Drosophila melanogaster: one gene and its partner. The protein of the gene in region 1 purifies or fractionates together with the protein of each later gene. This does not show direct contact. Each region holds a gene or a part of one and is shown in the gene's direction. Other genes may lie near its edges.

What was found.
Region 2: the proteins of Gp93 (region 1) and CNPYb purify together in Drosophila melanogaster (affinity purification with western blotting; one study listed by BioGRID). This does not show direct contact.

What each region holds. Positions count from the first base shown.
Region 1 is NT_033777.3:27,940,728-27,957,084, forward strand, and holds Gp93 (glycoprotein 93), read left to right. Parts: upstream 1-7,983; 5' UTR 7,984-8,134; coding exon 8,135-8,174; intron 8,175-8,256; coding exon 8,257-8,346; intron 8,347-8,443; coding exon 8,444-8,526; intron 8,527-8,614; coding exon 8,615-9,867; intron 9,868-10,200; coding exon 10,201-11,098; 3' UTR 11,099-11,424; downstream 11,425-16,357. Other genes in the region: BOD1 (biorientation defective 1), read left to right, coding at 1-1,406, 1,858-1,991; mfrn (mitoferrin), read right to left, coding at 3,255-3,665, 3,826-3,987, 4,052-4,287, 4,350-4,474, 4,525-4,613, 6,467-6,583; CG4951 (uncharacterized protein), read right to left, coding at 11,514-11,687, 11,748-11,955, 12,030-12,197, 12,266-12,358, 12,417-12,614, 12,771-13,219, 13,275-13,325; Nep7 (neprilysin 7), read left to right, coding at 14,294-15,439, 15,504-16,357.
Region 2 is NT_037436.4:19,083,986-19,098,237, reverse strand, and holds CNPYb (canopy b), read left to right. Parts: upstream 1-2,020; 5' UTR 2,021-2,095; coding exon 2,096-2,761; 3' UTR 2,762-3,348; downstream 3,349-14,252. Other genes in the region: CG14079 (uncharacterized protein), read right to left, coding at 28-75; Naxd (NAD(P)HX dehydratase), read left to right, coding at 606-932, 1,011-1,586; MESR6 (misexpression suppressor of ras 6), read right to left, coding at 3,674-4,575, 4,798-4,839, 4,918-5,428; Mkp3 (Mitogen-activated protein kinase phosphatase 3), read left to right, coding at 12,515-12,917.

The sequences.
Region 1 (16,357 bases):
GCACTCCTCATCGAACTCCTCCAGCTCGAAGCATAAGAGTAGTAGCTCCAAGAACGATAAGAGCTCCTCAAGTTCATCTAGCCGGAGTAATCGAGAGTCGTCGTCATCCAAGCGCTCGGGAACCACTTCTTCATCACGCCACGAATCTTCCTCACACAAAAAACACAAGTCCAGTTCATCATCCTCGCGATCGGAACGAGATAAAGGCAAGGAGAAGGATAAGGAAAGGGAAAAGGACAGCCAAAGTCGCAGCCACCACAGCAGTAGCAGTTCCTCGTCGTCGTCAAGGAGAAAAGATCACGACCGAGGCCGCGATCGTGATCGTAACAAATCAAACACTTCTGGCAGTGCAGAGAACAAGGCTATCCACGATGATCATAGCGAGAGCAAAGAAAAGTATAAGCAGCGTCGGGGTTCCGACTCAAACGACGAGGGGAAGCCTCCAAGTTCTGGTGGTCCGGCCAAGAACTCCCAGCCGGAGGATTCAGCAGCTACAATGAAATCAGATGCGCCCGTGGAGAATGCTAACGGCACGAATGGAAACTCCAACGGCAGCACCAATGGTGCTTGCGACAATGTCAGCGGTGTTGTCATCGTGAGCGACATCCTGCAGCAATCGACGAGCAGTTTTGTTGAACTGACCGCTGGATCCCAATCGCATGACAGAGCGGAGAGCAGTAAGCATGAACCCGAAGATATAGACGGAAAAGAGGCGGATAATCAGCCGGAAAAAACAGAATTGGAGGCAAGGCAAGACGAGTGTGCTTCGCAGAATGAAGTGCCAACTGTAGAACCTCAAACTTTAGCTGACTCCGTTCCCGATTTGCCAGCCAAGGAAAGCATGGATACATTGGAAGACGAAAAGGTAGAGACCAATGTCGAAGAGAATAAGTCAGAAGAGGAGAGCAAACCGGAAAATCCTCCCGAAGAGTGCGTCGACGAACCTGCTCAAGTCGGCGATGTGGAGGATCCACCGCAAGATGCTGACAAACCCGCCACACCAGTCCCAATCTCGAATGAGCAAAGCGACGAATTTAGTGCCGACTTTGTGACCCACTTCGAAGAAAACACAGACGAGTTTAGGACGCGTCTGCAGCTCATCAATCAACTGATAGAGGATCGAAAGAATTTGCTTAACAGGTTAAGTGAGGATGGAACACAGGAGGAGGCAGTGGATATACGTGCCTTGCGACGCAGCCTCTCCAAGCGAAGACGGAGCAGCATGCAGGAGCAGCATCGAGTGGAGCGGGAAACGACACCGCCGCAGCCTAGAAGTCCGAGCAGCAGCAGCACCGCCGGCAGTCCGGCAAAGAGACTGCGACAGGACGAGCCCAAGTCATCGCCAACACCATCTGACGCCAGCATAAACTCGAAGGAGAACGAGGCACTGGAGAAGCAGGAGCATGGTGCGTACTGTATCATTGCTAAGTTTCATTTGGTGTAGCATTTGTTCCTCGAATCTCTCTTTTGCTAACTCTCACAAAGGGTGGATCGATGCAATTGAATTGTCGTATGTCTTAACGTTTAGTGAAAATCAAGTAAAAATTGATAATAAAGTCTATAATTAACACAAATCGATCCACCCTGCGAATGTGATCTACATACATACATCTCTGTTCTCATGCTCATCCTCAATATTCTTCTTTACCGCCTCTATTTTCTCCCCCACACGCATCCGCATTGTTAACTAATATACATAATATGTAGCTGTATGAAGCCACCACTAGTAGTCCTAACCAAACCGCAATGGAGCTGGGTAAGCGGTTCCCGCGCGATTCTCTGTCCTTTGCCCGCCGATTGTTGATGCTTCGAGCGATTCCCGTGAATGCGTGTGACTAAAGTGCTTGTTTTTATCAGCAGACGCCCTGTCCGCCAGGCGACTCAGCAAGAAGCTCTGCCAGCAGCAGCGGTACACCAACGATGATCTCTACAAGCCCCGTCCAATCCTGTCGCAGCGCTCTCGTCGCCGGGGCCTGGACTCCATTCTCTAGCCAACGGATAACCTGTTATCGGAAACAATAAAAGGCAATTGTTGTTAATGCATTTGACATAAAACAAGTCTTCGTTTCTTTCATCCGTTTAATGGGCCATTTCGCTTGCCAATGGTTTTGCTTCCGCTTGTTTTTTTTTCGTTTGAATTCTTTAACAATAAAATTGTAATTTAGCGCTACACCTTACAGTTTAATAGTCGCCGGTGCAGCATATCCATATATATTATGCATATATATAAACAAAAATAACAGTGAACGTAATAATATGATGCATTATTGTATATTTTGGGCGATCCACTAGCCTTGATCCCCGGCACTCAACTGCGTCTGCTACTCAAGGATGTGGAACTCTAGCACTGAGACGAGGATAATGTGTGATGATAGATCGAAACAGTCGAGTGCGTGGAGCAAGGACAATGGACATAGCTAGGCTACGGCTCTCTACATGGGGCTGGTTAGTTATAGTACCGGGTGTAGATTATGGGGCATTGTAGGTCTGGGGGAGACGTAGTTCTCTGGGAGCTGTTTTCTGCTGTATCTGCTGTTCCTTATATTTTGTAACATCTCAGTTTGAAGATTTCGGCTGTAATTTGATTACAAATTATTGAATTTTTCCTTCTGCCGCGCGAGCGTGTGCTTTACATTTTTGCTCTTGATTACTTTACAACGATCAACATAAATATATGTATGTATATGCGTATATCATTTGAAAATTGTTTAAAAAAAATATATATATAATTGTTGTAAATCAAAGGTTGTAATACATAGGTAATAGTATTTTACAAGAAGGTTATCTCATTTCAAAGTAACATAGATACAGTATCATCATTAGCATATACTTTTAACAAGAATTTCGCACTTTGCCTAAAAATGTCATATTGTGTGTGTATAGGGTGTGTGTGTGTGTGTGTTTGCGTGTTGTGTGTGAGAGCGAGAGTTTTGTGCAGAACAACAACTACGATTTAACCTCCGACTATGGAGTGATAAAACTCTCTCACCGACTCCTCGCAGAGTATTCATACAAGCAGCTGGGTCCGGGCGGGCCGGTGGTGGGGCAGTGGCCAGGCGGTGGTTTGGCGGAACGGCAGGTATTTCGAACACCGTGTCGTCCCCGCCTGCCCAGGTGGCCCCTGCCCTGGATCCACCCCAGCCATCATCCCATTTCCTACCGCCAACTAATAGCTACGCTTAGGTTTAGCTGTCGCTGCTGCTGCAAACGTTTCGAACGCCGGCCCCGCTCGCGGCCACGCCCACCGGCGACGCCTACGTGCTGAAGCCCCGCTCGTAGGGACTCTTCACGTCCGTGTGCCGCGTGTGCAGATTGATTGTTGGCCCGGCGGGCCGCGTCGACAGCTCGCACACCGTCTTAATGGCACCGGAGGCATTGACCGAGGTCGGGGCAGAGTGCAGGGTGGCCGTGGTGTCCTTCTCCTTTGCCGCCTCGCGCTCCTGATCGATCTGCTCCTCATCCGTAGTCCTCGGCAGCACGTAGTCCGCTTTGCGGGGCTCCGAGCTGCCCGTAATTGACGATTTGTACTGATCAGCGTCCAGGCCGCACAGGTAGAACTTGAAGAACTCGTACGTCGACCAGCAGATGGCCGTGGCGGGCATTGAGTACAGAACGCGGGCGGTCGTGCCCCTAAAGAAGCCCAATGGACCGGCCATGTGGTAGATCTGTGAGAGGGCAAAGAGCAATAAGTATGGGAGATTTCATTCAACGCGAGACGAAGCTACTGTGAACTATGACCTTTGTCAGCCAATTATAAATTGTGAATTACAGACACATTTGCAAGTTCGTAAGCAGTTTCTCCAGTACAGATAGCACCATATTTACCTTTCGACTGGCCTCGATCATGCCGCGCGTCAGTCCTGTCTCCTGAGTATTTAGTAGCGTCTTGATCACGTCCAGGGGCGTGGTTACAGCCGCCGCACACGCACCGGCTGCTGCACCCGCTGCCATATGCACTGGTGGATTGTATTTGCGTTCCAGATTCATCTGCCGTGCACACGAAGATTGAGTGTCGGTTACTGAAAGGATGAGTTCGTTGGGGCGTACTTACTTTGTTCTGGAAAAACTCGTATGTGGTAAAATGTATTGTCTGATATGGTAGATTCATGACCAGTTGCGTGCCATATGCCCGGTAGAAGGCCTTGAAGCCTTCCCTCTTGTAGATATCCCGCACGCAGGATACCACCGATGTGTAGGGCGAGTTGTACATCTGCATACGCTGTTTGATCACATCCGTGGGACTAGAAATGGCGTCGTGTATGAGGGTGGCCACCGCTCCCGAAATCACTGAAATGGTCAAATGGGCTTGATTAGTAATCCCTCGGTGCAGGAGAACATGAAAACCTTACCGTAGTTGAGGTTTCTCACCGATGTGAACTTGGCCGTGAGCTCCTTGGTCATCTCGTAGGCGGCAAAGTATAGCGAGTGTGCTGGTCCAGCACCCAGCACCACGGCGCTGGCTCCCCGAATGGGTCTGCAAGTCGGCGGTTACAGTGATTACTCGATATGGCGGATAGCACTCACCTTAACAGGCCTTCACGCGTGATCATAGTCCGAAGGGTTGACACTATGTTCATGTTTTTTGTGGGCGGTGAAAGGCTCTGCATTCGCGTCTATAAGTGGGCAATAATGGAACGTTTAAAATAATTGCATATATATTTACATTGTGCATTTCACAATGGCAGTACTTGTTATTTTATTTACTCATTGTTTGTCCTAGATTAAACTGGTTAAAGTGGTGCGTCAGGGCTACTAACTTTGGCTATGATAATACATAAAAAAAAGGTAGATTAAGTCGAGGGTAGTTAGCCGTATAGACTCGTTGCTCGTTGCTTTTCTTCTGCAAGTCATGGTTACTCATGATATGCAATACAGAGCCCAATACAATTGTGGGGGATATCCAATATTCATTTCGCTTACTGACATTGCCAAGACCTTAGAACGTGCTCTCATCATGATTTGTGATTCAGAACTGATGGGGTGATGATTTCCGAAACTATTTCAATCTGGCTGTCGGCGAGAATCTAATTGTGCAATGTGGCAGCCGAAAAGGGAAATAATTGTTCAGAATATGCATAGATCTCATCAAAAGAAAGTTTTTCGAATTTTGTTCGTCCCATAATTGTCGAGATAAGGGCTATATAATCTGTAAACAACAGCAGGGACTAATAATTGATATCAGTGGAATATACAAATATATAATTGCATGCTTCCCGGCAAAACTTTCGCTGATTTACGAGCCAGTCACTCGGAGCCTAGAGATTTGCATTTGCCTACGTATTTAATGATTGCATATGCACATACATATATATATATATGTATGTATATATATATATATCTGTTCATACTTAATTGTACTTATTTAAAGGCGTGCCTGTCGAGCACACAAGTCGGAATTATATCTGGGAGCAGAGAGCAGCATCCATATTGTAAATTACGAAGGCCTTGGCTTTGCGATGCAGATAAGATTCACTGGAACACGGCCCAACTGCATTTATCTATCTGCCGGCTGGCTGCTGCTATCAATAACAAGTCAACAATGCCATCCAAGGTGAAAAGTAGCCCCTCGAGTGGGGGAAATCTAATTAAAGGGTTCTCTGCGACGAACTGATAGAAGTTTCCATTGCATAAAAGCCCGATAGAGCTGCGTTCGAAGAGATCGCGGAGCCAACATGATTCATTCATCCCGATGGTGTATTGTGTGTGTGCCGTGATAAGAGAACCCGGTGATAGGTAATTATTGCAAGCAAGCGGCCTCAATTGGTGTCCAATTTGGTTTTCCGCTCTCTGGCTTTTAAAACTTCACGAATTTTAGCTCGTCAAACGGACTGTGTCCAGAATCTAGATTATAACGATGACGCCGGGAATACCGACCAGGCTTTAGACTGGCAACCAACTGCCTGCCGGCTGTCACTTGCGCGATTGACACATGTGGCCACGAAAATCAATAAGTGCTCGAGCCACCAGCCAGCTGAGTGAAATACAACGAAACAAGAATCGGTCAATAATAGGTATTGAATGCGTGGTGTACATATGTACATATTTACATATAACCATATACATATGTGTATATACTTGCGGCGAACGTCATTACGAGGTGGGCATTTGCATACGCTTAAGTGGCGGACTTGTGCACTTGGTTGGCCCTACCGAATTTTCAGAAGAACGATGAGAACGCTCCGCCGATAAGAGCTAGTCCAATTACTATGGCTAATCTTATCGCGGAAGCATAAACCAATGGAACGTGCTACGATAAGCGTTCAGAGCGGCTATATGTGGCTATACCACCCAGAGCTCTTAATGAGAAACGCAACTCTTGGTTGCACTCGAGACGTGGGCAATTACATCACGATTATGCCAAAGCAGCGGCGGCACACACAAAATTCCGATTGATAGTGAGGTTAGGTCGTGTTATGTTCATGCCGCTGCTCCTCCGATTACCAGGCGGCCATGCAGTCTCTCTCACCTTGACGGAGTCCAGCGGATACATGACCACATGCTCCAGCACGCCCGCAATTGCGCCCGCCGTCATATTGACACCCACACTGGTGGTGGGCAGCGATTCGTAGTCGTCGATGTTCATGGTGGATCCGAACGGTTGCCGTCGCTTTCGATTGTTGAGGCTGCTGGTGGGGCTGCACTATCGACTGTGTTGTGTGCTAATGCTGTGGTTGCGCCCTTGCAGTCGCTGCTCCTCTTACGACAACCTGCTAATCCGGACCAGTTCTGCCAAGTCGCTGTTGCAGTTGCTGCTGCAGAGCCGCTTTCTCCGCTGGGATCGGGTCGCTCCGCCTGTCGAGGATCGGCGTTGGTTAGCGGGCAACTCTTGGCCGGCGTATGTCGGGCACTTTTGGTGCAATTTTGTTGTATAACACGGATAACACGACGATTCACGGACGCACGGGCGGGTGTATTTCGGGGGGTGGTGCTGCTGGCGGAGGCGGCGGCGGTGGCGGTGGTGGTGCAGAGTGTACGCGTGAGGTGGTCTTATGCGAAACTGCTAATTGACACTGCTGTTGCACGACTAGCATACAGACGACATAGAGACGATTCCCCGATTCAACGATTCACGCGAGGAAGCAATTTCTGGTTTAGTTGCTCGCGGCTAAGCTGCTGCTGCTGGAGTGGCGGCTGCGGATCGGTTGTTTTATGAATATATAAGAGTCGGTTTGTGGCCGAAGCGGAATTTTGGCTGGGTCGGTGTTTGGCAACTGACGCAAATGTTGTATGATTACAGCGAATCATTAAATTTCGCCCAATAAACAAGCCTCGTGCCCAGAGTGACCGCAGCGGGAACGTCGCAAAATACCAAAATGGCTCGGGTGAAAATACCAGCACAAGTCCACCCACATGTGGGTGCGGAACCTTAACGCCATGGCAAATAAAAATACCAACATTAAAATATTTAACTTAACATTGTAAAATAAACCGAACGGTACAAAATCATATGTTATATATTCTAAAACGAAATGGATTTCCTTGATCTCTGTCAGGAATTTATATTTTATTTCAATTCATATTTTTATCATTACTTTGCTATATCAATAAGTTCTCAGTTATCTATTTTGGCAGCTTAAAAATTGTATATACACGAAGTTGTTGTGCAACCGACCGAAGAATTTATTATTTTAAAGCTTAGTTGTTGTATACATGAAAAGATACTAATTTGTTTCAAATATAAATCATATATCTACCGGCCTAAGTGTTCCCTTTTGTAAACTATTGATATAAGAATGTAAATTATCAAATTAAATATATTTAACAGTAGAGTTTTGACACTACATCCTCTTGTAAACTAAATCCCAAATAGATTCTATGAATGTATGGGCTTTCAAATAAGCAAACATTAAATTTATTTAAATTACACTATTTTCGTGCTCTGTGCTGTATATATATCCTATTTCCAGTGCAGCCCCTGGTATTTCCTTCCAATGCGCTTAGAATGTTCCAGCGCCGGAATACGGTCACTCTGCGAGGCATTTAAAGGCCTTCCAGCCGCTTGTCGGCGTCAGTAAAAAAAAATCAAAGCAGGCGACGCAAGTGCGGACTAATTTATTGCATCTGTTATTCGTGACGTGGCCTTTCGCCGGACGAACCGATAGCTCGAGCTCCGTAAATCAAGCTACCAAAGATCATGAAGTACTTTTTGCTGGTGGGCCTGCTGCTCCTAGCAGGTAAGTGTGCACATTTGCCACGCCGCATTGAACCGGTGTTTTAACCTAATTATTAATTGGCGTCTGATTCGCGTCTGATTAGGCATCAATCAAATAGCCGCCGATGACGAGGCCGCCACAACGGAGACCATCGACCTTGATCTGGGCTCCTTCAAGGAGGGCTCCCGCACCGGTACGTAGACACGCCCCCCTCTCGCGACGACGAGTTTTGTTTGGTACACGTCAGCGTTGCGATAACCGCCCCCTTTTTCTAATTCCCAATCCCCCAGATGCCGAGACCCTGAAGCGCGAGGAGGAGGCCATCCAGCTGGACGGCCTGAACGTGGCGCAGCTGAAGGAAATTCGCGAGAAGGTGGGTTCATTGCCAGGTCATTTGGAAGGTACACGTATGACCGGGATTTCCTTTCCCTTTTTTCTTTGTCTTTTGTCTGTGCGTGCAGGCGAAGAAGTTTACTTTCCAAACGGAGGTCAACCGCATGATGAAGCTGATTATCAACTCGCTTTACCGCAACAAGGAGATCTTCCTGCGTGAATTGATATCCAACGCCTCCGATGCCATCGACAAGATCCGCCTATTGGCTCTGTCCAACAGCAAGGAGCTGGAAACGAATCCGGAGCTGCACATCCGCATTAAGGCCGACAAGGAGAACAAGGCGTTGCACATCATGGACTCGGGTATCGGCATGACTCACCAGGATCTGATCAATAACCTGGGTACAATTGCCAAGTCCGGCACTGCCGATTTTCTGGCCAAGATGCAGGATCCCAGCAAGTCGGAGGGACTCGATATGAACGACATGATTGGACAGTTCGGTGTGGGCTTTTACTCCGCTTTCTTGGTCGCCGATCGTGTAGTGGTGACCACCAAGCACAACGACGACAAACAGTACATCTGGGAGTCGGATGCCAACAGCTTCAGCATCACCGAGGATCCCCGTGGCGATACTCTGAAGCGAGGATCCGTGATCTCGCTGTATCTGAAGGAAGAAGCCCAGGACTTCCTGGAGGAGGACACCGTGCGCGAGCTCATCCGCAAGTACTCGCAGTTCATCAACTTCCCCATCCGCATGTGGTCCAGCAAGACCGTCGAGGAGGAGGTGCCCGTGGAGGAGGAGGCCAAGCCCGAGAAGAGCGAGGATGACGTGGAGGATGAGGACGCCAAGGTCGAGGAGGCCGAAGATGAGAAGCCCAAGACCAAAAAGGTTTCGAAGACCACCTGGGACTGGACCCTGATCAACGACAGCAAGCCCATCTGGACGCGCAAGCCCGCCGAAGTGACCGAGGATGAGTACACTAGCTTCTACAAGAGCCTGACCAAGGACTCCAGCGAGCCCCTGACCCAGACGCACTTCATCGCCGAGGGCGAGGTGACCTTCAAGAGTTTGCTCTACGTGCCCAAGGTGCAGCCATCGGAGTCCTTCAACCGCTACGGCACCAAGTCCGACAACATTAAGCTGTACGTGCGCCGTGTTTTCATCACCGACGAGTTCAACGACATGATGCCCAACTACCTGAGCTTCATTCGTGGCGTCGTCGACTCCGACGATCTGCCCCTGAACGTTTCCCGCGAAACTCTGCAGCAGCACAAGCTCATCAAGGTGATCAAGAAGAAGCTGGTCCGCAAGGTTCTCGATATGCTGAAGAAGATCGACAAGGAGGCGTATGAGAAGTTCTGGAAGGAGTTCTCCACCAAGTAAGTGTCGCTTTCTAGGAATTAAGAAACGTTCTTTGCCTGTTCAAATAATTAGTTATTTATGATAAGCATTTCCGCAGAATCCATTATAATATGGAGAATAGAATGACGTGTATTATTTTTTGCCAACAAATTAATATATTTAGTTTGTTGCTTTAAAGAATTCCGCGCTGATAAGATAAGGAAATCCACGTAGTATTATAATATTGGCACTGGTGACGTGTAGAGTTTATACTTAAATATTTTATTTTAGTTAAATAAGCATTTCCATTAGCTATAACCTCGAATTCTTGGATTTTCGTTGCTTATCAAGACTTAATTGACTCATTTCAGCATCAAATTGGGCGTGATGGAGGATCCCAGCAACCGATCGCGTCTCGCCAAGCTGCTCCGCTTCCAGACCTCCAACGGCAAGGGCGTCACCTCGCTGGCGGAGTACAAGGAGCGCATGAAGGCCAAGCAGGAGCACATCTACTACATCGCTGGTGCCAACCGCGCTGAGGTCGAGAAGTCGCCGTTCGTCGAGCGTCTGCTGAGCAAGGGATACGAGGTGCTGTATCTGGTGGAGGCCGTCGACGAGTACTGCATCTCCGCGCTGCCCGAGTTCGATGGCAAGAAGTTCCAGAACGTGGCCAAGGAGGGATTCCAGCTGAACGAGTCCGAGAAGAGCAAGAAGAACTTCGAGTCGCTAAAGAGCACCTTCGAGCCGCTGGTCAAGTGGCTGAACGATGTGGCACTCAAGGATCAGATCTCCAAGGCCCAGGTTTCCGAGCGTCTGAGCAACTCGCCATGCGCCCTCGTGGCCGGCGTCTTCGGCTGGACCGGCAACATGGAGCGTCTGGCCATGTCCAACGCCCACCAGAAGTCCGACGATCCTCAGCGCACCTACTACCTCAACCAGAAGAAAACGCTCGAGATCAATCCCAGGCATCCGCTGATGCGCGAGCTGCTGCGCCGCGTGGAGGCCGACGAGGCCGATGACACCGCCAAGGACATGGCTGTGATGATGTTCCGCACCGCCACCCTGCGGTCTGGATACATGCTCCAGGAGACTTCGCAGTTCGCCGACAGTATTGAGCAGATGATGCGCCAGACCTTGGGTGTCTCCCAAGACGAGCAGGTGGAGTTCGACGAGGAGGAGGAGGATGATGCCGAGGAGACCGCCACCGGCAGCCAGGAGAGCGGCAACGCCGATGATGAGGAGGAGGAGCAGCAGCACGACGAGCTGTAAACTACTTCACCTCACCCACTGTCCAAATAGATTGTACATAAGAGTGTGAAGTTCAGACTGAGTTTTAAACCGCCACCGGGTGGCCGGGCGGGCACTCCATCAACATTACACGCTAGATTCTAAGTAAAATAATTTCGTAGTCCTTCGCCCACGCCGTCATCACCGCCAGTCGCCCAGAGAGCACTCCACCATTTCAGCCAGCACACTTGGTTGCTCAAGCGTTTTCTTTTTTCGAAAGCAAGTGAATTATGTATTTATACAATGTAATATGCTTAGTACACAACAGATTCCAATCAAAACAAATAAAGACAAATGAATTTAAAACTAAAACAACTGCCTATTTAATATGGCGCGCAATGTAAAATTTCCGCAATCGGATACCAAAAAATAGTTAAAAAGTGAATTGATTGCTCGATCAGTCAAGATCGGAACTCAGCGGCTCATCGTTCAGGGCCCTCAAGTAGGTGTTGTACTTCATCTGGTCGCGGATCTGCTGCACGGCCTCCGATTGGGACAGCGTGTATGTGTCCATAAAGAGGCGCACTATCCACAGCGGGAGCAGTCCGTTCACCAGCAGCGACGTGTGGTTCTGGTAATCGGGACATGTTAGGATGGATATGTGTGTCACTCCAGGACGCCCCAAACTTACGCTTCGACTGCTGTAGACCTCGCCCAGTTTCTTGAGCATCTGCTGGTGAATGCTCTTGCTCAGTATGTCGATGACGTCCATGTGGGCAATGTTCATGTAGTGACTGGTGCGCGGCTTGAACTCGCGCTCCTTGAACAGCTTATCGAAGTCGCTGCGATAGTTTTCGAACGTATTCAGCACCTCGTCCTCGCCCATTTTTTCCAAGAGTCTGAGCCAATCAAAAGAACGCAAGTTGAAGGCACATTCGTGTTCGCTTTATTTGCATCTAGTCGAGTCACTTACAAAATCTTAACCTCGCGCGGCTTGGGCGTGTCCAGCATGCTGTCCAGCCGCTGCAATGCATTGAACCGCCCTCCGTCCATGTGTTCCACCTTGAAATCTTTGGCCGGCACTGGCGATACTCGTTTCACTTTGGGCTTGGGTCCTCTGCTCTTGCCGCTCCTGGTCTCGCTGAAAATGGCAGCCAGGGAAATGATGAATGAAACTGATCGCTATAGCACCATATTTCTATGGCTTACCCAACTACGAAGTTTTTGAATCGACTCGGGCGTATGGGCGATCGGCCGGAGCGGCGTGCAGGCTTGGCCTCAACGGAGCTGGATCTGGAATTCCTGCGAATAGATCAATAGGCTCTTAGTTCTCTCACATCCTAGCCTTCGCCTAACTCACTGCTGTGATGGACTGTGCGATCGCTTAATGCGGTTGCTCTGCTGCGAGGAACTGGGGCTGCTGGAAGAAGCCTTATCCTTTTCGCCTCCTTGGGAAATGGACCTGCGCTCGCTCTTGATCTTGGTTGGTTGGCTGGCCGTGGTGGAGCTCTTGTCATCCTCGTTGTCGGCGTCAATGTGCTTGGGCTTCGATTGTGTGCTGGAGGGGAAACATGCAGTGGAGAAAACATTAAAATGCATTCAACTTCGGTACATAAAATGTGAAAGGTGCAAAGGTGGTTCATAGCTATTGGGATCAAAAACCACACAATCCAAGCCTATGGAGTATTTGGGACTAATTAATAGGGTTTCCTACCCCGCTTTTGGCTTGGATCCTGAGTTTGCTACGCGGATCTTGCGGGATGTGGGTCTGGTGCCATTTGTTTCTGCTTCCGTGGCAAGCTCGCGCTTGGCGGGAATGACGTCCACAATGGTGGTGTCCTCTTGTGTTATGTACTGCAGCTGTAGGTCCAGGCAGAGATCCTTGGAGCTGGACTCCGTACCGGCCAGAAGAGCGACCGTTGCAGGATGCGACTTATTGGTCGCCTGGACGCGCACGATGATGTGATCGATAATGAGCTCGGTGTCCAGTTGGTAGGCATCCTGCCACTGCTTCAGGTTCTCGAACAGGCGCCATAGACCACACTCAATCCGGCTCCACCGATCCGCGGTCATCCAATGGAAATCATTCTTGGATTCCCGCTCAAAATGGGTCACAGGTGTCGGCAGAACTTTGACGCTGCAGATGACGCGGTGCTTCTTGTACTGAAATGGGAGCTGCTTTAGGACATGGCGGATCACACATCTCAGTGGCTTTTACCTGGTATAATTGCGAAATTAGTTGGCAATCACCGATGGCGGAAAATGACATTTTTATAAAATTGCTATGCGTCCTGATGTGACCGTAGCCGCTGACAGGCACAGCAACAACAATTCGGGGCGGATCTTTGGGCACACTACGAGCGCTTTGGTGGTCTATCGATTGTATTTTTTTATCGACGTTTGGGCGGCAAAAAAGTATCAACTTAAGCTGAATTCAATTCATAAATATTCATTATCTGGAGAAAACTGCAAAATGTTTTTTTGGAACGTGACAAGAAATACTTTTACGTTTTACCACAGAGATCTCTATAGAAAGTATAAAAATAGTAATTATGCATAATGAACATATTAAGAATCCACCTGATATATGCATTTATTTATAAAAAAAAACAACAAAGATAAAAAAGTGTTAAGTGTTAATTAGGACAAAAGTTCAGAACGTGTTCACAATGTGCAATCGTGTGACACAAGTGACGATGAGATTTTGAAACCAAAACTGAGAATTGTTTTTACTCTGAATGAATGAGGGGCGCTATCAATGAATCTCCCAGAACTTACAAATCCTTATCAACAGAAGCGTGTGGCTTAGGTCAAGTCTCGCCAAGAGAACAGCCGGACTACACAGTGCAGCAAAATCGTTCCCATTCTGCGAAAGTGGTTACCTAAAAACTAAGTTGGCTAGAGAGATAGCTTGGATGCCCATGACCTCCTCCTTATTATTCAAAGCAGTGGCTTAGAATGCGCACCAAAGATGGTGAAAGTGTGCGGAACGACGTCATAGTAATATAATTCATTATAATCTCTGTTGTCCAGTGCTGCTGGTCAACATGATTGCGAAAAAAAAGCACACGCCGATGGGATCGGAGAGATGCTGCTGCTTGCTCAGTTCTCAATCGCGTTCCGGATTAGGTAGTCGAGCTTGTTGGGTTTTTCAAATAATCCGGGTCGATCGATCACTGGCCGCACTACTTTATTATATTATACAAACTGCGTGTGTGCCCTGCGAATCGGACCAATATGCTCTCAATCTCGAGCTACTTTCGACTGCCCCTATACACGCGGCTGGCAGTTTGCATCCTGATCTGCGTGATTTTGAATGACTGCGAGGCCAGGAGTATTGGCGACGAGTCCCATGAGAACGCGATTACGGATGAGACGGCCGACTACCTGCGATCCCATGGCGCCATGATGAAGTCCTATATGAACTTCAGCGTCGATCCGTGCGACGACTTCTACGAGTTCGCGTGCGGCAACTGGAAGAACGTGAAAACGCCGCGGCAATCGCCCCATAGGCGGAGCAATATTCTGGACATCAGCTACACACTGATGGACGTGACGGAGCAGCTGCTGACCAGGACAAAGTTGGCGGAGGCACTGAACGTGTCCGCCGAGCTGCTCGTTGCACAACGCTTCTACAATTCCTGCCTGGCGGCCGAGCTCTTTCCGCGGCCCGCTGCCGATCCCGCTTATCTATCGGTTATCAGGTCGCTGGGTGGTTTTCCCGCCGTCGACAGAGACGCCTGGAACGCCTCCAGCTTCAGTTGGTTCAACATGAGCGCCCATCTCAGCAACTACGGCGTTCGCAGTTTGATCCACGAAGAAATTCTGCCGCAGCATCCCTTCAATCCGTACTTCAAGCTACCCGAACTGGGCTTTGACCATGTCGTCCACACCGCTCACGTTGCCAATACGAGCTCGCGGGCCTACCAGCTCAACGAGCATCGCATGCGTGGCTACCTGAAGGAATACAATCTCACGAAGGATGAAATCTCTGCCGTGATCGAAGGCGTCTTTGCTTTTTGGAGCGAGGCGCTCAGTATTGAGGATAAGTTCGAGAGCGATAGGGATAAGTGCGATTTGCTCAGTGAGATTGAGGAGGTGCCGCGATTTGGTCAGTGGAGGAGCTACTACGAGATAGCCTGGAATGGTATAGACTTTTACAACGGCTCGTCCGGTGGCGAATTCTGCGACTTTTACTATGTGGAGCTCGACAAGGTGTGCGCCAAGCATACGGAGGCGGTGGCCAATTATCTAGCCATGCGGTTTCTCTACCGCATGGACGACAAGCTGAAGGAGCCCAAGCAGCCGGAGGACCAAAAGGTTAACTGCTTGATGATCGTCCAGATGACGCTGCCAAATCTGTTCAACAGGCTCTACATGGCGGTGAGTTGGATGCTGTGAATATGTGAAGCTTAGCTTTTCAATTGATATCAACTAACTTTCATAGGAGCACTTCACCGACGAGAAGCACTCGGAGATCTCTGACATGGTGACCGAAATGCGAAAGGCCCAGCGACAGATCCTCGAGAGTGTGGAGTGGTTGGACGCGGAGACGCGAGCAGAGGCTCTGAGCAAGGAGGCCGGCATCACGCCAGTAATCGGCAGTTACAAAAACGAAGAGCTGTCGGACACTCTAATCCGCGAGATCAACAATCTGACCATTGTTGAAGGCAGCTATGCCCAGAGTTTGATCAATCTGCGAGTATTGGGCACCTATCTTCATCGCTACGCTGGCTTACATGCGGACGAGCTGCCCAAGGACACAAAGCCACTGACACTGCTCGTGGGAATGCAGGTGAACGCCTTCTACTACAATCTGGATAACTCGGTGTACGTGATGGCGGGAGTACTGCATCCGCCTGCGTACCACCGTTCATGGCCCGATTCCTTGAAGTTCGGCACCATTGGCTATCTGATAGGTCACGAGTTGACCCACGGCTTCGATACGGAGGGCTCCAGTTTCGACAGCGCCGGCGAAGTACGCGACTGGTGGTCCAGGAAGTCGGAGGCGGTATTCCAGGAACGGGCGCAGTGCTATGTGGATTACTTCAACCAATACTTGATACCGGAAATCAACCAGACAATTCGCGGCAATGAGACAAGGGACGAGAACATAGCGGACGCCGGTGGCTTGAGGGCCGCACTCACCGGCTATCGAAACCACATGAAGCAGCTGCAACGAAGTGGAGCGGATGGGGAGACGTTGGCTCACAAAAACGAGCAGATGCCCGGCCTCGACCTGTCGCCGGAGCAGCTCTTCTTCGTGGGATTCGCGCAGCTGTGGTGCGCCGACTACGAGCC
Region 2 (14,252 bases), on another chromosome or scaffold:
TACACTTCAATCGACATAGCCACAAACCGCATGGAGCTGCAGATCTAACTTTACGTAGAATCTCTTGTGGGACATTTGCTGCCTGATCCTAAGTGAAAGTCTGCCGGAAAATAGCCAACTGCTTGGGGCGGGAATCGAGAATTGGGGGGCGAAAGCGCATGGTTCTTTGTTTTGGAGCCCACTGGTTGCCGGGGCAGCGGTTGAAAGTGAATTTCAAAGTCGATTACTGGTCGATAACGCAGGGAATTTTGATTGATAAGCAAAAGAGTTGAAAGTGATGTGTATAGAATGTATAGTGTAACTATACAATGTGAAGAGTACTTAAAGAATTGAATAGTTTTTGAATTAATTAAGAAATAATACAAAAATATGATAGTAAAATACTAAAAAAAATCTATTTTAGAATAATTAGCTAACTCACATTTTTCCATGTTTTCATTTTCTATAGCTTTAACTACTGATAATACGGCTTCCGTGGGAACAAAGTATTTCTCACAGTGATAGCAGCAACCGATAGGAAATCCCGACCACAATGTGCATCACTAGTCACAGCAATAGTAAACAGCGGGCACAGTCCACAAAGAAAACCATTGCCGCCGGTAGAGATGGCTGCAGTTTCGGATATTCCAGTGCACCTGCCCAAGCTGCTGGCTCTGTTCAAGACGGTGGTGCCCAAGCTGGTGAACAACAAGCACAAGGGACAGTACGGACGCATTGGAGTGATCGGTGGGTCCCTGGAGTACACCGGAGCGCCGTACTTCGCGGCCATTTCCTCGATAAGAGTGGGCGCTGACCTGGCGCATGTGTTCTGCCATTCAAATGCGTCGGCCATTATCAAGTCCTACAGTCCCGATCTTATCGTGCATCCAGTGCTAGACTGTGTGGATGCAGTGGAGAGAATAGCGCCCTGGTTAGAGCGACTTCACGTCGTTGTGAGTAGCCCCCCCCCCCCACCTACATACGTATATGCTACATTTATACAATTAAATGCTAAATTTAGAATCGTTAAGGTTATTGGACCTGGACTGGGTCGGGAGCCGGGCATCCTGAAGACGGCATCCAACGTACTCAAGCTGTGCATGGACACCAAGAAACCAGTTGTCATAGACGCCGATGGACTGTTTCTGCTCAACGACAATCTGAATCTGATCTGTGGACAGCCGAATGTCATACTCACGCCAAATGTCATGGAGTTCCAGAGACTGTTTGGCGAGGATGACCAGGCGGCGCGCCAGAAAATGTCCCTCCTGGGAGCCGGAGTAACTGTCCTGGAGAAGGGCGCCAACGACAAGATCTATCTCCCTCACTGCAACGAAGTTCACTCAATGCCTAGCGGCGGTTCCGGTCGCAGGTGCGGTGGACAAGGTGACCTGCTCTCCGGATCTTTGGCCACCTTCTTCTCGTGGTCACTGCAGTCGGGTGAACCCAATCCCGCCCTGGTAGCTGCATGTGCCTCTAGTTACTTTGTGAAAAAGTTAAACGCGGCTGCATTTCAAAAGTTTGGCCGCAGCCTACTGGCCAGTGACATGGTCAATCAAATACCCAGCGTATTTCAGACCGAGTTCGAAAACAGCGATCCTCAATAGTCATTTACTGGACTTTGAACTAATTCCAGCTGTTTGTTTTTTAAAACAAGGCGACCATTAACCGAATTTTCAATTATCGTGGGATTTTTAATGTCTTTAACAGAGAACATATTGGAATGGATAGAAATGTTATGGGAATTTTTTAATTGCATTTAAACAACGTAAGAACATCTGGTTCGTTAATTTGAAAGCTGCATCTTGTTACAGATAAAATGTTTCGGCATTCATAATAAAACCATATTGATTCAATTTTAATAAACCGTTTAAGCATGACTTCTGTTTTAATAAACAAATAAAATAAAATAAAAGTTTTTTTTAAATGTATGTAGGATAATAAATCATAAAAAAGAAAATAGATTTGATATAGATTATTTTAAAGGTATTGGCGGGAAAAAGCTAAGTCGTCGGTTCCGTTCGGTTGTTGGTGTTTTGCAGCACTGGTCTTCTCGCGAGCGGCATTTCCACGTCAGGTTTATTATTGTTTTTTTGGAATTTATCAAGCAGTGAAAATGCTCCTCAAAAGACTGCCTGGCTTTGTAACACTCTGGGTCGTCCTGCAGTTAGCCGGAGCTGATTCGCCCGAGGAGGAGCAAGGCGTTCGCTACGCAAACCGCTGCGAAGCCTGCAAAATCCTGGCCACCGAATTGGAAGCTCGACTTGGAGAGACCGGCAAGTCGCACGACGTCATCGAAATCGGATACTCCGTTGACGATGTGAAGCCCAAGAAGCGCACTGAATACCGGCGCAGCGAACTGCGACTGCTCGAGTCCCTGGAGAACGTGTGCGAGCGAGTGTTGGAGTACAATCTGCACAAGGAACGCTCTGACAGCACGAGATTCGCCAAAGGTATGTCCCAGACCTTCCAGACGCTCCATGGCCTTGTGGACAAGGGCGTCAAGGTGGATCTGGGAATACCCTACGAGCTGTGGGACAAGCCCCCGGTGGAGGTCACCCAAATGAAGACCCAGTGCGAAAACCTACTGGAGGAGTACGAGGAAACCATCAGCGAATGGTACTTTAAGCACCAGGATGAGAAGTCACTGAAGAAGCATCTCTGCGAGGACCATGTGCTCAAGAAAAAGGCCGAAAGGGAATGCCTCAAGGAGCAGCTTGCTCCTCCGGAGGCTAAAAAGGCCAAAAGGGAAAAAGCCAAGGGCGACAAGGAGGAGCTGTGAGCCAAATAATCCAAGTATATCCTAGGAATCCCTACCATATTGTAATTCCATGTCGAAAAATGTAGATGTAGTGCAGCTGTTGTCGATGCAATTTTTAAAAGTAACACAAATTTTAGTTTTTGAATGAACTCAAGCATTGACAAACTAAATGTAGTAGTTACTTAAATTCCAATGATCTTACTTTTTTTCGAAATGGAAATCATTTTAAGTTTTACCACCTATAGAACAAAGCGAAAAGTGTTTAATTAGCTTAAGTGAACTCACTATGTCTCTCAAGCTAATCTGTATAACTTCCACAACGACTGAGCCACAGAATGCTACTGAAAGTTTCGCCTGGGGCCATTGGCTTATTGATTTCGGCCACGAATTGGGGTCGACAATTAAAAGTTGACTGCCCTCAATGAGGTGGCCAGTCATAACCCCCAGCCAGAAATTCAGGTGTTCATGCCATGTCCATGTCAATAAATGAGATTTTGCGCATTTTCTAGGAACCTACGGCACTGAATGGAAGAGAGTTATCCTTAAATACATGTACATTTTATAACTAACATTTAGTATTTACGATTAAATATAGATTATCTGTGCATACACATTTTGATTTTACTGGGGCACCTAATATGTCGTTTAAAAGGTATCTCGTCGCGAAACCTTTCAAAGTTTAAAAACAAATTATTTTGAATATACCCAATTTGCATTAAATGAGTTTGTTTAATTGTCTGTAATAAATACTTCGCGTATATTTCAAAGTAAAAAATATTATTATAATTAGTATTGGATTTTCCATCATTAGGTTCTAATTCGAAATCACTACGGGTATCTTTTAGTCGTGGAGTTTTCCCGCCCAAACGAGTTTTGTAAATTCAGAATCTAATTCGCAGTGGCGGGCGAAAGAACCCCTAGTTATCCATAAGCTTAGAGCTTCATCACATCCCAAGGATCGTCCATATAGTGCAGGATGGCTTTGTCGTGCAGTCTTTCGCCAAAAACCTCCTTAAGCAGGCGTAGAACGCATTCCTCAATGAATGCCACCTGATCCTGGGGGCAGTAGTCATCTTGAGCGGAATGGGCCATTGTAATGGCCACTGGAGGAACTGGCAGGCGCTGTAAGAAACGCTTGAAGTTTGCAAAGTACGTTTCCAACTCTTCGGCGATGCTGATGTGGTGGGGCAAGCCATTATTATCGGTGGTGCTGCCCGAATCGAAGATCAAATGCCAGTCGATTTCATCGTCTGGATATTTCTCCTGCAGCTGATCGGCCAGTTTCACAATCTTGGCGTACACTTCGGGCGTGACCACGGTCTCGTCCGGCTTTTCCAGTCCCTCGAAATTGCGCTCCTCCTCCAGATGCCAGAAAATCGTCTTCAGTGCATCCAACTGAGTCTGTCGCCTCTCTGCCGTGGCCAAATAATCTGCTATAGTAGCCGTGCCCGACTTCTTCACCTTCTCCACGCTTTCGAAGTGGAAGATCTCCTTTAGCTGATTGTAGCAATCGGCATCCTTGTATATTTCCAAGAAGGGGTTGGAGGTGCTGAAAAAGTCGAGGTCTATGTCCAGCACGAATCCCTTGGCGTCCTTCTCCGTTAGGAATTCGTTCGGATTGAGGCTTTCGTTGTCTGCATCGTGAACCTGCAGCTCCACGCTCTTGGCATCCTGCAGATCCTCCGTAGTGCAGTAGTTGCCGTCGGCAATAAAGTAGTCCAACGGACAGTCCACTCCAATGCGATCGTCCTTTTGTCCAACCTTAAAGTCGTGCCTGCCAGTGGGCAGCTGCTGGCACCATGAGTTCTTCAGCCACACGACGCGGTTGAAATGTCCTAAGAGCAAGTAATATAGCAATAAGTTATTATTTTACACTAATTTCTATAAGAAAATGCAATTATAGCTAATTAATGTCATTAGACTCATCACAGTTAATAAGTTTTTGGTTTGAAATCCTTTAAATGTAGAAAGGAATCTTTTTGACAACAGTACTCAATGGATATTTAGCAGTTACTAAGAGATAATCTTTAAATATTAAGTTCTTAGTAAAATTAGACCATAGAACTTTTTTATTTGTCCTTTTACATTGTTTTCTATTTCTAGAAATAAAATAATAGCATTTAATATTATATTTCTATATAATATAGTTCTCTTCGATTCCCCATAGAAATCCTCACCTGCATAAAGTGTGGGCATGATCCAGTTCTCGATGCTAAGCTCATTTAACATGGTTTCCTTTTGGTAGGTGGAACTGGCGGCAATGTGCCGTGGAATGACCAGATCCGGATGCGAGTCGAAGTGGACAAGGGTGTTGTTCTGCAGCGGAAGGTGGCGGGTGGCAAAGCAGCGGTAGATGAACTCCAGCACATCGTTGTGGTAGTCGACGATAAAGACGGGGATGCGCTGGAAATGCCTTGGGCTGATGGTGCCGCCAATCTGGACGATGCCCTCGCCATCATCCTCCTCCTCATCAACGCTCTCCTCGCTATCCTCGTCTTCCTCCCGATTCTCCTCCTTTTCGTCTGCAGTCTTTTGTCTCTTTGTTGGCGGCGCCTCTTCTCCCCCACCCGCCGCAACCCACTCTCCCGAAGTCGGCTCCCATTTCTTCGAACTTTCGGGACTTTCACTTGGCGATAGTTTTTTTAGAGCAGCCGCGGCACTCTCCTGGTCCAGCGTATCCGATTCCATTTCCCTCGGGATTACTTTGACTGTACAACTGGGTCCTTAGCACACTGTTCAATTACTTGCACGGTAAGCAGACTTAATTTCTTTTGTATTTAATATTTTGGGGGTCTTTGACCATTAACAGCTGTTTGGCAGTGTGACCAGATTGCTGTCTAGCACAAGTTTCCCGTATTGCTAAAAATGGTAGCCCTATAATAAGGTCACATTACATAGGACCCAACTATCGATGTATCGATTAAAGTTGTGTCCGTTTAATTTAAAAGTTTTTTCTACACATTTTCCATATATTGTACCTTATTTTGTCAATTACTTGAGACGTTGAGTATTTTTTGATATAACTTAAAATAAATTTGATTTTTTAAAGCATTCGCTTTGAAATCTAGAATCTAGAATGTAGAATCTAGAAAATGTTAAAAATGTTAAAAATAACAAAATTTATTAAAAACTAAAAAAAAAAATATTTTAATATTATCAAAATAGTACACCTATTTCTATATTCATATCACTTTGATAGTGGTAAACGAAAATAAGAAGTAAGGAGAGAGTATCTCATAGTCGAGACACTAGGGAGTAACCTTCTTCTTGCGACTCTCGTGCAACCAAGGAAAGATTTGAATTTCAATTTGCAAGTTCTTGAAACAATTTTTCGAACAGCAGTGTTCATTAATTAAACAGCACTTTATAAGCTCAGCCAGCACACGAGCTCTTTGCCATCCGCAATCCAAATGTCTCACACTCCCCTCCAGCAACTCGCCCCCCCCCCCCACAAGACCCTTTTATCCTCAACCTTCGGCCCACCGGCCACCCACATTTCAAGGTTACTTCAGATTTGGAGACTTTGCCTCCAATCAATATTCCGTGTGTATCCGCAGCTTGGACGCTGGCATAATGCGATTGCCATCGAGCGAGTGATGGGGGGCGGGGGTCGGGGGGTGCTGAGCGGCCTCTGGAGCTTTTAGCCCCCAAAAAGCTGGCCCAGCGTTCCGCCCACGCTGCGCAGAAGCTTTTCATTCATAAGTTTTTATTATATCTGTACATATGTAGTAGGTATATATTTGTATATCTATGTGTATATATATACATTTGCATTTGCAGCGGAGGGAATCGGACGCCCACATGGCTGATTGGAATGCGTAAAACACTGCCGCTGTGTGTGTGTGTGTCTGTGTATCTGCGAGTTCGACTTTGTATCTGTATCTGAGCGCTAGTATCTGCGTTCGTCTTTTTCGCCCTTTGCAGCTGGTGGAAATGAATGGCGCGGCTCGGTTGTCTGGAAAAGCGCCGACAGCGCTGCTCGGGCGTTGGCGTGCAATGTTTCCGCCGTCGAGCGTTATCAAAAAATATAACTGTATATAGACTTTTGTGGGTGTCCCTGTACATACATAGGCGACACTCTTCTTTTATTACCGTTTACATTTTATTTTTGGCCAAGTTTTCGCGTGGGCCGAAACACCCTCGGTGGCGTCCATTACGCCGAGTACCACGTTGCCATGTAAAATCTTTACTACCACGATATCTTAATTAATCCGTTTAGGATTGAAGTCTGCTCTCGTTGAAGTTTTTCATTTCATTGCCGTACAACTACAACTGCATCACTAGAAACTAGTAATAAATAGTACTTAAAAATTCACACATTTTCTTATCAAATTGTTACCAGTATAAGTTGATTTGCTGACCAAAATATTATGCTCAATTATAGGTTTTAGAGCAGTAATCAAGGACGAAGATTCCATGAAAGATCTATATCTCCATGTTACTTATGTTGACCGCCTAATTATCGAGCTCGCTGGCACACTGAGAGAAATTGTTTTTGATTGGGGGGCTTTCCCCAGCCCTTATAACGCAACGGAAGTGCCAACTTCGAGAGCATCGGCCCCTTAACTCGATCAATTGGCTGCAATTTGGCTTCTCGTTTTTGTTCTTGTATCAATTACAGCAGCTCTGCGCTTTCTCTAGCTGTCGCACCCAATTCTCGCAATTAATTTGCCTTCAGCTTGACCCTGGAGGTCAAACACTGGCTCGCATTAACCTTCGTTGGCCCCTCCGACGAATCAATTGGGGAAGGATGGCACGGATGGGCGATGACAACCACGATGACGATGGCAAAAAAAGGAGGAGGGGGGTGGCAGGAATTTCTACTCTTGATTGCTCTACTTTAAAATGAAATCCTATAAAGTAAACATCAAAAAAAGATACAGATTGATTGAGATTCTAGATATTACTTTTAGATTGCCACTCAAAAATACAGTAATCAGATGAACATTGAGATATTTCAATATTAAAAAAAAATCTTTCTTCTCCACAACAACTTTTAAACAACGTTAAAGAATTTATAATCTTTAATCTTTCGCTTATAATCACAATTGAAGCACATAAGCTTTAAACTTTAATACAATCTTAGAAAGCTTTTATGCAATATTTTCATTCTTTTAGTGTTAACAATCTTAACCGTAAAGTAATTAATATTTAAAATATTTTTACTTACTTAGTACTTATTCATACTAAATCGTAGTTCTTTCCCACGTGATGTCTTCAAACACATGATCTTGACTAAGTGATGAACAATGTTATTTACAACTTTTGCAATCAGTAAGCCGGTAAAGAAAGTGCAGAAAATTCATTGAGCAGCCCCCGAATGACGTCAACAGGATTTTGAGTCTGGCGTAGGTGCCCCATTTCCCTGTAGCCCTGTGAATTTTATTTTATTTTATAACTTTCCCCTTTGGAAGGAACACGTGGCACCGGCTGCTGTTTAAGCCACCTTGAGTGAAGTGGCCAAAGTGAAATGAGTCAGTGGGCCCGACAAAACCAATCCCAAAAGTGAGTACAACCAACGTCATTCGCATTCTAATTCGGTGAATAGGTAAGTCGTTTGGTCAGGTCGCCGTTTGTTTCGTATCAATCGTAACTTTTGCTCGCGTGGGCGCTCAAAGCCAACAGATTCTTTCACATCTGCCGTCCCGACTCGTCATCCTTTCTTCTTTTTTAGCGTCCGGTGCAGATCTGATTTTTTAGACATTTTTTAGCACTGGAAACAGATACTTCCCAAGAGGATTCACATTCTACAATGACGAATTACTTATCTTCAGATGAGGAGGGATATCAGTTCGTATATGGGATGAATCTTGGATTTCTTGTCAATCTATGCATGCTATTTGATATATAATTATAATTATCAAATAGTATTGTAAAACGAAAAACTTTAATTGCATTGTTGCAGAAATGTTAACTTATATTTATATTTTGTCATAACTTGTTAAATTCGTGTTCATTTATTAATGTCTGTTTTAATCAAAGCTATTATTAAATGATAATTTAATTTTTTATCACCGTTTTTGGCTACCAATTTGAACCAACACTTGTCTGGAACGACGTCATCGGAGTGCCCAGAATCATGGAGATTGGGAACATATGTATATATTGAGATATTGAGAATCTGTGAGATACTTCAGCCTCTTCGCTCTGGTCAAACGTCAAACGCACATTGATCGACGATTGTTGATCGACCATTGTTGATTCTAGAGACCCGTGGCGCCCACCGACATCCGCTGTTCATATGGGCGAGTGATTCACAGAGATCTCGCGGAACGGAACTCTGGGGGCTGGACATGGATATATGGATGTGGGCTGGATTCGAGAACCCAATTGCGAGTGTGAATGCGAGTGTGAGTACACACATTTCAGAACGGGCGAAACGGAAACATGAATGGCAGATAAGCGGACGCGCCAATTCTTAATCCCATTCCAGTTGTTTTAGGTCAGTAAAGCAGAATGCAAAACTAGTGTGGGAGAATGCCGTTGAGCTAACTAACTGCATTTAAGAAATAATTATATTGCTTCAGCTAGTTAATAAACGTCCAAATTATTAGAAGGCAATATTCATCTCGTAGCAATAATTATCCTATACTCATATGAGTTTTGTAACTATGAAAAGGTTTCAGCACAGCGATAACTAATAACTTGCTGGGAAATATCTGTTAGAAAGTATACGCAGTTAATGGTCTTTCTTGATAACAATGAGTGGAAAAATAACACCAGATAATGAATAAAACCCTGCAAAGCTCATATAAGTAGTATCGCACATTGCGAATCACGATGATCCATATTTCCCCCATTTCTCAGAACTTTTCACTCATTCAAGCCGATATGGCTATGACTGATCTATACACGCACCATATAAAAACACTCGGGAAAGCGTCATCATCTTCATATTGATTATACGTGGGGTCTGATAATCAAGGTAAAGGCCGTAGCTTGCGCAATTTAGATTGACAATCGTGAGGTGCAGAAATTTAATTGAATTCTTCACTTTCGACATCAGTTTCCTGCTAAAACACAGATAATGCCCCAAAGTGATTCATTGAGCTATACAAGTGGGTTGGGTATTCCATTTTGGCTGCGAGCAGACTTTGAACTTGTGTCATCGAAGAATGGAGCCCGGAGGACGACCGACCTTGGCTTCTACACTGTCAGAAATACATATATGTATCGCCAAGGTCAGCCCACCAAAGACACTTGGAAGGCGCAATTGAGCAGCCTTTTGAAACAGCTATCCAGGTGCTTACTTCTAATTTCTTCATACTTGAGTGATACACTGACAGTAATTATGTACAACTTTCGATGAATACAAAAATTAATGGTAATATGTGTGTTTACACTTTTGTGTTTACTGAAGCGTAAATAAATAAATGCTTAAATGATTTCATATTATAACAAATATTTCTTAGTATTATATATAAATATATATATATATTTTTTGTGTGTGTTTTTATTATTAAAGAAATCCTTTTGAAGTACGCATGTTTTCTTTGTATTGAGACTGCTGAAAGAAAATGTAATTTATTAAAGAGCCGCTCAATTTTTCCCTGTGCACTCCCTTGCAACATTCCGGCTGGCCTCCCACGCGCCAGGGCCGAAAGCAGAGTAAAGTCCTGGGGAATAACGCCCTTGGAATCTCAGGAGCCGCGTGCCAAGACGAAAGTGAGCAGCGAGAAATGCGTGGGCTGAGCATGGATTTCGTATGGCCGTTTCTTTCCCTCGCCGACTGTCTCCCTCTCTGTCTGCTTGGCTTTCTTTATTGCTCCAACGGTTTTCGCTGCTGCGTGGGACTTTCATTCATGAAAATTGTGCTCGAAAGTCGTTCGTTCGTACATCTGTATATAGTAGCACGTTGTGATGGGCCTTACCTAACGGTATATGGTGTGTATGGGTGTGCGTTTTATGTAAAGCTAGTGCAACGCAGGCGCAGCAGGAAGTTTGTTGTTTGTGGAGAAATTTTTGCACGCGCCGCATATCCTTGAAATTGTCCTTCCATGCGATTTCTGTATGGGTACACACGTATATCCTTGTGTGAGTCTCTTCTTTTTGGGTGTAAATATCAGGGTCATGGTTATAAAATTAAACATTTCATCGAGTCTCCAATATAACTGGCTCTTGGAGGAGCATTTGCGCAGGAGCTTTCGTTAGAGAGTAGACAGCGACTCCATTGATGATTCCGATTCTTCTGGGCTCCGTAATTTCTTATCTGTCTAAATTAGTGGTCCATTAACTTTTGCACTCTAGTGAAGTGAAATGTTAACCGCGCTCTCGCAAAAAGAGAGTAACAATAAAGTAGGTTCCATCGCGAAGGGTAAGGTGGGTGGTGGTGGGAGTAGTGGGAGAGTGAGAGAGAGCTAGTTTGGATGGCGAATTCAATGAATCAACACGAACACACGCATTTTACTTGCCACACGCATACCACAGCACAAAAATATCAATGAACTTTACACAAAACTTTGGGAGCGTATGCAGCGTGGAGAAATAGTCAAAGTGCCAAAAGAGTGCGGGAGAGAAAGGCAGGTGGGAAATTTGAAATACGAACCCAGTTATGAAATAATTATTTAACATACGGGAAAATATGATTATTTAATATATTTAAAAAATTTTATGTAATTTATAGAATTAAAACAAAGTCTTTACTTTATCTAAATTTTATTCAGGAACTCTCTTTGTATTTACTTTTTTCCCCATTTTTTCTCCTTTTTTAACCGAGCAAATTTCCAAGTGGGTCTGTGCCTGTGCACTGGCTCTTGCTCACCTTTTGGAGAGTTGCTCTTCTCTCCGGTTCGCGTACCTGTGTGCGCGGGTGCGTTCTTCCTTTCATTGCGTGTAACGGACTGTTTGTTTCGAAATAGTAATTCCCAAATGTATTTTTTTAAACGAGAAGGCAAAAAGATTCAATATTTTATAAGTTATTTCTTAATACTGCGCCTAACAAATACAATATTGTTATTGGGTTTCGCTCTTCGAATTCCGACGGAGAGAATTGGAGAGTCGGAGAGCAAGTGCAACTGTGTTCGTATTTTTGGAGAGCAACGAGGCTATTTAAGCAACCCACGACGCGCTTATTTTGTTATTGCCCGATTATCTTTTACCCGCGCTGCTTGTGTGTGCTCGCTTTCCATTCGAAAAAAACATCAACTCAAAATATGGATATTTGATAGAAGTAATTACCTATTTGTTTGGGAAATATTCAACGGTTTTTGGATGTTTTAGTTACTCGATGACAGGTTCACCGCACGTTTTTTCATTCGATTCCGAACTGTTGTTGTTGTTTTAGCGAAGCACACCTAAAAAATACAAAACCACTCACACACACGCGAAACATACACACGGTTGTGATTTGGCGCGCTCTTGTGTGCGTGTGTACATACAACAAAAAGCAAAAAGCAACGAATTTCGGTGTGCAAAGAAACATAAATCGGCAAGCGAGGAAATCGGAAAGCCAAGAAACAAAAAAAACAAAACAGTGCAAGTTACAGATTTCCCCAAACGAGATAAAAACAAAAATTCCTTTTTGATTTCCAAGATTTTCATCTGCGCGGGAGTGTGTGTGTGTGTAACAGCAACAAATACCATTGCACGGCCAAGAAAGAAGAAGAGAACCAGCGCGAAGCAGAAGAAGAAAGATGATGTAAACTTTGTTGTAACCAAAAGAAAAAAGAATAACATAAAAAACGAGTGAAGCAGAGAACAGAGCTAAACGGGAAAAATAGTGGCAGTGCTTCGAATTCTTCCAGTCTTTGAGTGATTTTTTGGGAGCTCTTCAAAATGCCAGAAACGGAGCACGAGACCTGCAGCAAGGAGTGGCTGCAGTCCCAGTTGCGATCCCTGGACTCCAAGGACCTGATCCTGTTGGACTGCCGCGGCTCGCACGAGTACAGTGAGTCGCACATCCGCGGAGCCGTCAACCTATGCATACCCAGCATCGTCCTCCGTCGTCTGGCGGTTGGCAAAATCGATCTGGCCTCCACGATCAAGTCGCCCGAGCTGAAGCAACGCATCCAGTCGGGCTACAAGCTATGCTGGTTCATCCTCTACAACGGCGAAGGCGTGCCCGGCCAGAATCAGGAGATCGCCGGAGCCGGATCCCTGGCCGTCGCCATGGACTCCATCATCAGCATCCTGCACCGTCGCCTCAAGCAGGACGGCTGCCGCGTAGTTGCTTTACAAGGTGAGTCATAAGTTCAATACTTTGGGTGCCCCAAAAAATAGAACTACAATATCATAATACAAGTGCGGGAGTTACTAAAACCAACTAAGGTTTATATATACCTCTCAATTCCCACATTTAAACTCACGTAATTAATCTTATAAATATGAATACTATCCATGTTGATTTCATAGAATATGTACATATTTGAAATATTAAAGCTTCAGTAATAGAAATGACTAAGTAAATCATTATAAACATAGTAGAAAACCGAAAAATTTCATCCAAAATTTCCCCCCTTAATCTCGTTTGATTAGAATGTAATAACTAAAGTAGTAATATTAAGATTTACATTGTGATATTCTTGGAATGCAATGAATCAATATTACGAATGGAATTTTTTGTTAGTTTACTACGCACCTGTATCGAGAACGGAACTCTCCATTTGTTGATCATAGCTGTGCTATCGGATTCTTTAAATGCCTGATACTTCCCAACACCGCCCATAAATCAATGCCGCACATTCCTATCCTAGGCCTAAGAATATCATAACTTATTTATACTTCCCCAATGTTGTTTGCGGCATTTTTAGCCCGAAACCCCCAAGGAAGAAACCAAAACAAAACAAAACAGCCGAAAGAATATTAATAATACAAGCAAGCACTGCCTGGCCATAAATAAACATTTGCATGGATTTGTTATTGTTTTTTTTTTTTTTCGTTTTGGCGAAACAAGGCAAGCATTCTGGGGGCGGAGACAAAATGACAAATGCAAAAAAAAAAACTAGCAAAATATAATGTAATCCGCACAGCTGATAAAGCTAGCGCCAGATTAGAATTATATTTAGTCTGACTGATCCTGTCCTCCTCCTCTCGCATTCTGATTATAGACATACACTGCATAGATTTCACCTTTCTGAACTTGTTTTTGGTTGACACGATTTTGTTTGACTTTGATAGAAAATTATAATGGCAGGAATTTGTTAGTTTATATATGCTGTGTCTTTTGTTTCCTTATCACAATTGCATGTAAGCTATATTAAAACTTGCGCAAAATATCAATCCAACCATATCGGCGGATATATATGTATATGTAGTTATACCACCCCGCATGCCCTTCCAATTATGCACTTTATTCTGAAACACTATGCCCCTCCTTGATTGGCCCATATCAATTAAGGAGCGATTTAAATATAAATGTGTTTTCAAAATCGTTTGGTATTTTACAAACACGTTCGGAGATTAAGGAAGTCATAAATAAACATCACTGCTGTCGATGCTTTTGAGGTCTTTCCACTATTGTTGGCTACACATTTTCTTTGTGCTCCCGTATAGATTTGTGTCATTCAGAAAAATG